Linked DNA regions of Caenorhabditis elegans. The protein of the gene in region 1 interacts with the protein of each later gene in a pairwise test. Each region holds a gene or a part of one and is shown on either strand. Other genes may lie near its edges.

What was found. The genes of interacting proteins can lie anywhere in the genome.
Region 2: the proteins of penr-1 (region 1) and elt-7 interact in a two-hybrid assay, tested with the Caenorhabditis elegans proteins (one large-scale study listed by BioGRID).

The regions. Positions count from the first base shown.
Region 1 is NC_003283.11:5,267,623-5,271,274, forward strand, and holds penr-1 (HMG box domain-containing protein), read left to right. Parts: upstream 1-1,862; 5' UTR 1,863-1,867; coding exon 1,868-1,987; intron 1,988-2,032; coding exon 2,033-2,265; intron 2,266-2,313; coding exon 2,314-2,805; intron 2,806-2,853; coding exon 2,854-2,962; 3' UTR 2,963-3,122; downstream 3,123-3,652. Other genes in the region: spi-2 (TIL domain-containing protein), read left to right, coding at 281-283, 355-409, 460-581, 783-1,103.
Region 2 is NC_003283.11:4,769,079-4,773,594, reverse strand, and holds elt-7 (Transcription factor elt-7), read right to left. Parts: upstream 2,926-4,516; 5' UTR 2,882-2,925; coding exon 2,760-2,881; intron 1,882-2,759; coding exon 1,596-1,881; intron 1,543-1,595; coding exon 1,457-1,542; intron 812-1,456; coding exon 709-811; 3' UTR 509-708; downstream 1-508. Other genes in the region: C18G1.9 (FERM domain-containing protein), read left to right, coding at 3,900-3,937, 3,984-4,080. UniProt on the Caenorhabditis elegans protein: Transcriptional activator that binds to the consensus sequence 5'-[AT]GATA[AG]-3'.

The DNA of each region.
Region 1 (3,652 bases):
GATGTTTGTACCAATTTAAACAAGGAAACATCAACAAAAAGTCACTTGGATCAGTCATCATGTAAATACGCGTCAGTTATGTGTGAACAACTGGTATCTAGTTGATCCTCCGAACTTTGTCACTTCTTTTTCGTTTTTTCGAGAACTGGGCGGCACACAGCAAAAGGGTATAAAATGGTAAGGAAATGGATGGAAAGGCAGAGTCAATTTGCGACCAGCGGTTATTGTACTACAAATAATTGTTATTTGCTATTTTTCAAAGTGTCATAAGTTCTCAACAATGGTGAGTATTTGTTATACATATATTTGTAAAATTTCCTCGTGTCTGTAAGTCTTTAAGTAAACCATTTCCAGAAAGTTTTCATCGTTCTCGCAGCTTTAATTGGATGCTACGTCTACGCTCAAGATGGTAAATATTCTGAAACTTATAATAAGCATGACATATTTTTTTAAATTTAGCTCAAATTCTGCCAGTAGGTGGACAAGTTGGTGGTGGGCAAAGATTGCCATGCCGTGGACGAAATGAAGAATATAAGACTTGTGGAACCGCCTGTGAGCCATCATGCACCAATCCGAACCCGGTAAGCTATCTGCCGACTCTTCGGGTATTTCTGTGCAAACACCGTCACGCGAAAATTCTGCACGCCTAAGTTTGATCTACAAAAAATGCGGGTTTTTTTCCTAGAAAATTGTGACGTCAGTACGCTCTTAACCATGCGAAATCATATGAGATGTATGCGTCTCACCTCCCGCATTTTTCGAAGATCAAAGCGTGTTTTTAGATGTGCACCAAGCAATGCATCAACAACGTCTGCCAATGCAGAAGCGGATACGTTCGTAACGAGATCACCAGACAATGTGTGCGTCAAGCTCAATGCTCCAGACCTGGAACTGGTTTCGGAAGCTCCACTCCGTTCCCATCTCAATCTCCTCAGAGATGCGGACGTAACGAAACATTCAGAACCTGCGGATCTTCGTGTGAGCCGAGCTGTACTACTCCACGTCCACAAGCGTGCACTATGCAGTGTATTGTGAACGTGTGTCAATGCTCTGAGGGATTTGTCCGAGGACCTTCCGGATGTGTCAGACAACGAGATTGTTAAACGAAATGCTTTTTAAAAACATTTTAATCTTGATTCAGCGTACCGCTGAATGATGTTCTGTAAAAATGAGTTTTGCACAATAAAGCTTCTATTCATTCAAAAAATAATCTCGACTTAAAAAACAACTCGTGTTTTTTTGAAATATCGTAATTTTGCTATTAATTTAGAACAAAATATTAGAACAATTTTTAACTGAAAAATAAACAGAAAACGACAGAGTTTGATAAAAACGACGTAATTATTAATAATTACGTCGTTTAATAATACATATGATTGATCAAAATGCTAGAAAACACAAGAAAGCAGCCGAAAATGTTCAAAAAAATTTACGATAACCATTTTTGCGCATCGAGACCGATCTAAATAAATTCTTGCTTCTTTAAAACGGATTACAATACAATTTTCCATCACAGAACGAGACTTTTTCAACAGCCACAAAAAACTCAAATTCAAATTGCCGCCGAAAGTGAATTGGTGCGAGGTAAGTGCGCTCCACCGCGAACATCGAATATTATTTCGAATGCAATGCTTGGCATCGTGCCAGCACCCAAATTATTATTGGTGACTGACTGTTTCTTTTGGTTTTCTTCGTTTTCTTCAAAATTATCGCATAAATATTATATTAACCTTAAGTTTCTGGTAAAAAGTACTTTTAAACACGGAATTTATCATAAATCAAGTGTATTTTGCATTTTTAAAACTTAATAACTGTGGATTATGAATTTATCGATTTTTTTTTGCCTACGTTACAATTTTCAGTTGAAATGACTAAACGCAAGAATGCGAGTAACGCTGGATCGAGCCCAAAAAAAGAGAAGAAATCGGAAACTTTTGCTGCTCTAAAGTCGGTTAAAGCGGAAAAGCGGCCAGCTGCGGACTCTTCGGTAAAAATAACCCAATTTCTTCACTAATAAAAGATGATTCTTCAGGATTCCGAGCCGGAGGACTTCGAAGAAGAGCAAATTACTCATACCGAGGCTGAAGAGACGAGAAATGAAGACAACGGTCAAGCGATTTACGAGCCTGATGTAATGCGCCCTTTGATTGAGTCTTTCTTAGAATTCCTTGTTCAAAGGCAGTCTGAAACGAGTACAGTCCATAACATGGAAAACAAGGTTGCGGAATGGGCTGAAACACGTCGAGATGATAATATTGACGCAGGGTAGCTCTTTCTGAAATTTTGGTTTAAATTAAAAATTTATTATTTCAGATTGTTCGTTCTCGACTTCCGTAAGTATCTGAAAAGTGCGGTGAAATTCAAAAATCTGCAAATGAACGATTCGTGTGCCGCCATATCCACCTATCTGAACAGTGAAAAATCTCTGGTCGAGTACAAGTCAATGCCGGATCGTCCACCTACAAAAATACAGCTTTACATAAAGAAACATCAGATTATGTTGAAAGGAATCGGTGGTGAACCGATGAAAAACGCCTACAAAGCAATGAATGCGGATACGGAGGGTGCGAAAGAACTCGACGAGCTACTCCGAGAAGCTTCGTTGCAGTACATTCCACAACTTCAGGAGTTCCTTGATACGCATCCAAATCTGACAGAAGAACAGAAGCGATCAATCGTTAACAAGATGAAGATGCTCAACAAGAAATACAACTCAAAGGAAATTTCAAGCACACCAAAGAAGAGATCTAGCAAGAAGGATCCAGAGACGGCATTCAGCCTCTTCTGTAGAACAAAGAACGATAAGTGAGTGTTTCTTTGCCGAGTTTCAATTTAAAAAAAAATATTTTTCAGGTATCGTGACCTGTCTGACGAGGAACGCGAGATCAAGCTGCAAAAGAAGTTCGAAAAACTGCCGGCCGCTCAAAAGGATATTTACGAAAGCCTTGCCATCAGCATGTGAACCACCCATTCCCCATTAATTTTAAACGTTATTTTATTAATCTCCAATAATGATCAACTTTTCGCGATACTCTTCATTTACTCGAGAATTTCAACCAAATTTGTTTCACACTGTTTTGTTTTTGTTTCAAAAATATTTAATGAAAATCTGTTATAATCATTGTAATTGTCCACTGAGTGGTTGATTTGCAAGTTTTATAGCTTTTCCTCATACTTTTCTCCTGTTCGTTTTTTTCCTAATTAATCCGATTCCCATTTGTGTCGTCAATTTGTAGAAATGGAGATAATTCGATTAGATGTTTCAATTTTTGTAAGAAATTTCATTGACAAGCATCTAGTACCTGCCGATAGTACTCTAATTCGCTAAAATTTTGGCATTTCAGTTCAAAGGCACACGCTATTTTTCCAAGTGGGTCTCGCCACGATCAGACGTAAATTTTGCACATTTTCTCATAGGTTGTAGAAGTGGAAGCTTGATAGGCAAATTTCAATCAAATTTTAAAGTTCACAGAAATTTTCGGCGATTCTACAAAACGATTTTCATTAAATAAAAGTGCCAAAAAATGAAAAATCTTTGATTTATCTGAAAATAATATCAGCTGAAAAATTCCAGAAAAAGCTCAGAAATGCCCGGAAAGTTGATAATTGTCGAAAACGGAAGCGAAAAGTCGGTAATTGGCGAATTTCCGGC
Region 2 (4,516 bases), 500 kb from region 1:
ACGTGACAACTTCGTGACAACTTCGTGGCAACTTCGTGACAACTTCGTGACAACTTCGAGACAACTTCGTGACAACTTCGTGACAACTTCGTGACAACATCGTGCCAACTTCGTGACAACTTCGTGACAACTTCGTGACAACTTCGTGGCAACTTCGTGACAACTTCGTGACAACTTCGTGACAACTTCGTGACAACTTCGTGACAACTTTGTGACAACTTTGTGACAACTTTGGGACAACTTCGTGACGCTGTAAAGCCAAACGTAGTGTTACCTTCTTTCGCGAGCCAAAAAAACGCGAAAGAGGGGCGGAGTCTGCACACTCGGCATTTATTAGAGGCTGCTTGGCAGAATATAGAAATTGATGGTTTCATCTGTCCCTGGTCTCATCGTTTCAATTTCTACATTAAAGCCCACTTTTGTATTAATATCCCACATATCACCAATTTCTCATCTTATCATAGAATCTTTCAACATTATTATTTGTAACAATATTTGTATAAGTAGTATCTCTAACGTTTTATTTAAGAAAAATAATAATGAAGTTGACATTACAAATGTTTGAATATGGTAATATCAGTGGAAAAGATGACATAGATATATAATCTTTTTTAAAAAACGAATACAAATCAGCGCATAGAACACGGTACAATTGATGTAGAGGGATACGTAATATGCTGGAAAAATGGCGATACAGTCCAAACTTGTCTATTCTTTTTTTGCTTGACGCCGCTTTCGAGTAGTTGGCTTCTGCTTGCAGAGGGATAACGGGCGTTTCACTTTGTTGTGACGGTAATACAAGTTGCAAGCACTGAAAATATTACTTTAATAGTGGAACTAATGATGTATATTTAACTAGTCATTAAAATTAATAAAATTTTAAATTCGAAATTCTAAAAAATAATCGAAAATTATAAGCAAGTTCAACTGAGAATTTTTGATTTGGAATGTAAATGTTCTAAATGTTCGAAAAAATTCAGGGGTAGGCGGCAAGTGCCATTCGGCAAATTTTTTTGTCAACAAATTTGGCAAATCGATAAATTGCCGGTTTGCCATTTTGCCGGAAATTTTCATTTCCGACAATTTGCCGATTTTTCGGAAATTGAATTGATGATTTTTGTTTTTAGAGGGATTTTTTATAAGACGGAAACATTTAAAACTGTGCATTTTTGAAATGTTTTCTCCGTTTTCTTTAGATATTTTCACAGAACTTGCTTACTTTTCAGAATAGATGTAGGAACATTCATAGGATGCGTACAATTTTGCCGATTAAAATTGAAATTCGGAAATTTCCAAAAAAAATGTGCAAAACCACAAATTGCCGAAAATTTTCGGCAAATTCGGAAAATCGACAAATTGCCGGTTTGCCGATTTGCCGACTTGCCAGAAAAACAATCGGTTGCCGCGCACACCTGGTAGAAATAATATAAAAGAATATAATAAAATATAAACTTACTTGCACTCAAGATTCCCTTCATCATTTTTACGCCAAAGTGTGGTTGTAGTTGTTGAGCAGTGTGAGCAGCACGCATCACGAATTACCTGAAAAATTTCATATAGAAATATTTATTTCATTCTAAACCCTCGAATCCTACTTTTGCAATTTTCTTTCCCTTCTGTGAACCAAATCGGTTTCCAGATGATTCGTAACTGCTATCTTGCTCCACAAAGGATTTTTGCTCATTTTCATTTTTCGTCAAGCTTTCATCAAAAATAATTCTGGAATCTTCAAGTGGTTGTAATGGAGTAGTACACATTGACGACTGAATTGGTTGTTCGTATGGAGATGGAATTTGATAACTCTGGAATGGATCAAAGTGATGAGTTGAAGCATCTTGCCAAGTATTGTAGTACACGGGCTGCGGTGGGTAGACATATGGACTGAAAAGTTGGAGTTTTTATTCTCTCAAGCTGAGCTGAGTTTGTAGTACATTTGTGGTGCAGGAGACTAGGCAAAAGATTTGTAAGCAGTTGGTAAAATTTGGCAGGAAAAGTTAAGCGGAAAGTTGTTAAAATTTGTCAGAAAGTTGCCAAAAGTTTTGCAAGAAGTTGCCAAAAGTTGGAAAAAAGTTGCCAAATGTTGTCAAAAAGTTGCCAGAGCTTGGCAGGACGATGCCAAAAGTTGGCAAAAAGTTGTTAAACTTTAAAAGAAAGCTATCAAAAGTTGGCAGAAAGTTGCAAAAAGTTGTCAGAAAATGTCCAAAGATTGACAGAAAGTTGCAAAAATTTTGCAAAAAGTGTTAACATTTGAAAGAAAGTTACGAAAGGTAGACAGAATTTTTTAACTGCTTTGTAGGAAATTGTTAAACTTTGAGAGAAAGTTGGAAATTACCTACAATTGCCAAACAGGAAACATGTTAAGTCATACACTTTAAGCCATTCCCAGCATGAAACTCGTTTTTCAGACTCTCAAATTATAATAATAAACCTTAAAAAATATAATAATTCTCAAAGATTCCTATTCTCAAAAACACTGAAAACTACTGATTATAAGCAGTATACTTTGGAGCATTCGATATTGATTTTTATCAGTTATGCTACATGAGTTCAATAAAACATAGTTTTGGTCACATGTTGGAACAAAGTTGTTGTTTTTGTATACATTACTACAGGAAAGTAATATTTTGGTAGTAATGTAAAAACCATATAATTCTGTTGATAGTGAATATTTCAATTTAAGTTTGCCGTAAAAATAATACAATTACATTATGCAACATTTTTATGCACTGCAATAAAACAGTTTTGATTTCAAAACTTACTTTTGATTATATTGAAATTGATTAAATAAATAATAGTCCTCCATTGGACTTCTCGCTGGCGGCTCATTCATGATAGTCGTAACAGATGGAAGTGGTTGAAGAGTAGTAGTTTCAGGGAGCATTTTTTCCAGTCGACTAGAGCAGACAACTCTAACCACAAATGTCTGTCTTTGTTACAGGCAGGAAAGTAACAAAGAGCCCGGAGAGATCCTAGAGAAAGAGACAAAAAAGGTCAGAGTGATAAGATAGACCGGCGGCGGTGGTGATGGGGAACTGTGTGTGGCTCACCACCCATCATTAGTAGTTTATGATATAATGACTATGAACCTGGACGGCAAAGTTCTTAAAGGGAAGGAGAACGAAAGTAAATATGACTTGGGACTTTTATGGATAGTCGTAAATTAGTGGTAAGTCAGAGATGCATGTACCTATGCCTTGTGTGCCAGTGGACGAGCAAAAAAAGGAAACATGGGAAAGAGGGGGGGGGGGTGCGGCAAATCTCAAAATTTGCAGAGTCCGGCAAAACCGGCAAATTTGACAAATTTGCCCTGGTCGGCGAACCCGGAAAATCTCGATATTTTAAAACTATTTTTTGGATCACAAAATTGACGAAAAAGCTTTAAAAGTGTAGCATTCTGGAAAAAAAATTTTTTTTAAAGATACTCACAAAATTTTGTGTTATTTCATTCATTTCTTTCTTCTAAACTCAAGGCAAATTTTAGAGTATTCCGAGCTTAACAAATGGCAAATTGGACAAATTTGTCGCGAATGGGAAATCTTGTTCCAAGTTGAAATGCTGTGTCCTGGAGGAAGTGTGCAATTATTTTTTTTTAAGTTGAAGTAATGTGCAAAAGGGGCATAAACTGATTGTGAGAGTGCATAGTGTTTATAATTTAATTCTTGTATTATCGGTAGCCTATTTCTAACGTGTTTTTTTTTAAAATACATATAATTTATTTAAAATGAATGCTTGAAAAATCAACATGGAATGTAGTTTTACGTAAACTGTATTTTTCTATTAAAAAAAGTGTAGATTTGGAAAAAGATAAGAATTCAGAACTGTGAGAGGCGATTTTAAATTCATTATTTTTATTCAAATTACTAGCATTCGCGGCTTCTCAACTAACCGACTAACCCCCAATGTGCGTCTCGAGACCAGGATTGAGTACAACTCGGAGGTAATATAAGGTATTAGAATTACGAGTTCTCAGTTAACCGCTACAGATCTCGACACGAAATTACTTACACCACACAAAATGAGGAATCTGCAGAAAATTGGTATAAGATGGCTAATTCGAATTTCCGATCGGCAGTGTTTGAGGTATGAATCCCGATTTTTATAATCGGAACTTTGTGCCTACAGTACCCGCATGTGTTTCAAAATTACCTCTACAGTTTATTTTTTCCACTTCTACGACTTTAAAGGAGGGCGCATTTATTCAAAATGGTCCCGCCACGCTCCACCCATTGGTCTCGCCACGCGCTTCAAAAATCAATGAATGGCGCGTGACGAGACCATTTTGAATGAATGCGCCCTCTTTTGAAGTCGTAGAAGTGGAAACAAATACACTGTACTTTTGCAATTTCGCTCAACTTTTCGCAATTAATAGCGCTAAAACTCCGGGTTTTTGAAAAAAAAAACCAAAAGTACGGGGAAATGGAGAAATATGTGCGCGGAAATACTGTACCTGGTCTCGGCACGATTGAAACCTTTCAGCTACCGTACACCACAAGTTTTCGTAATCGTCTATTTCTAG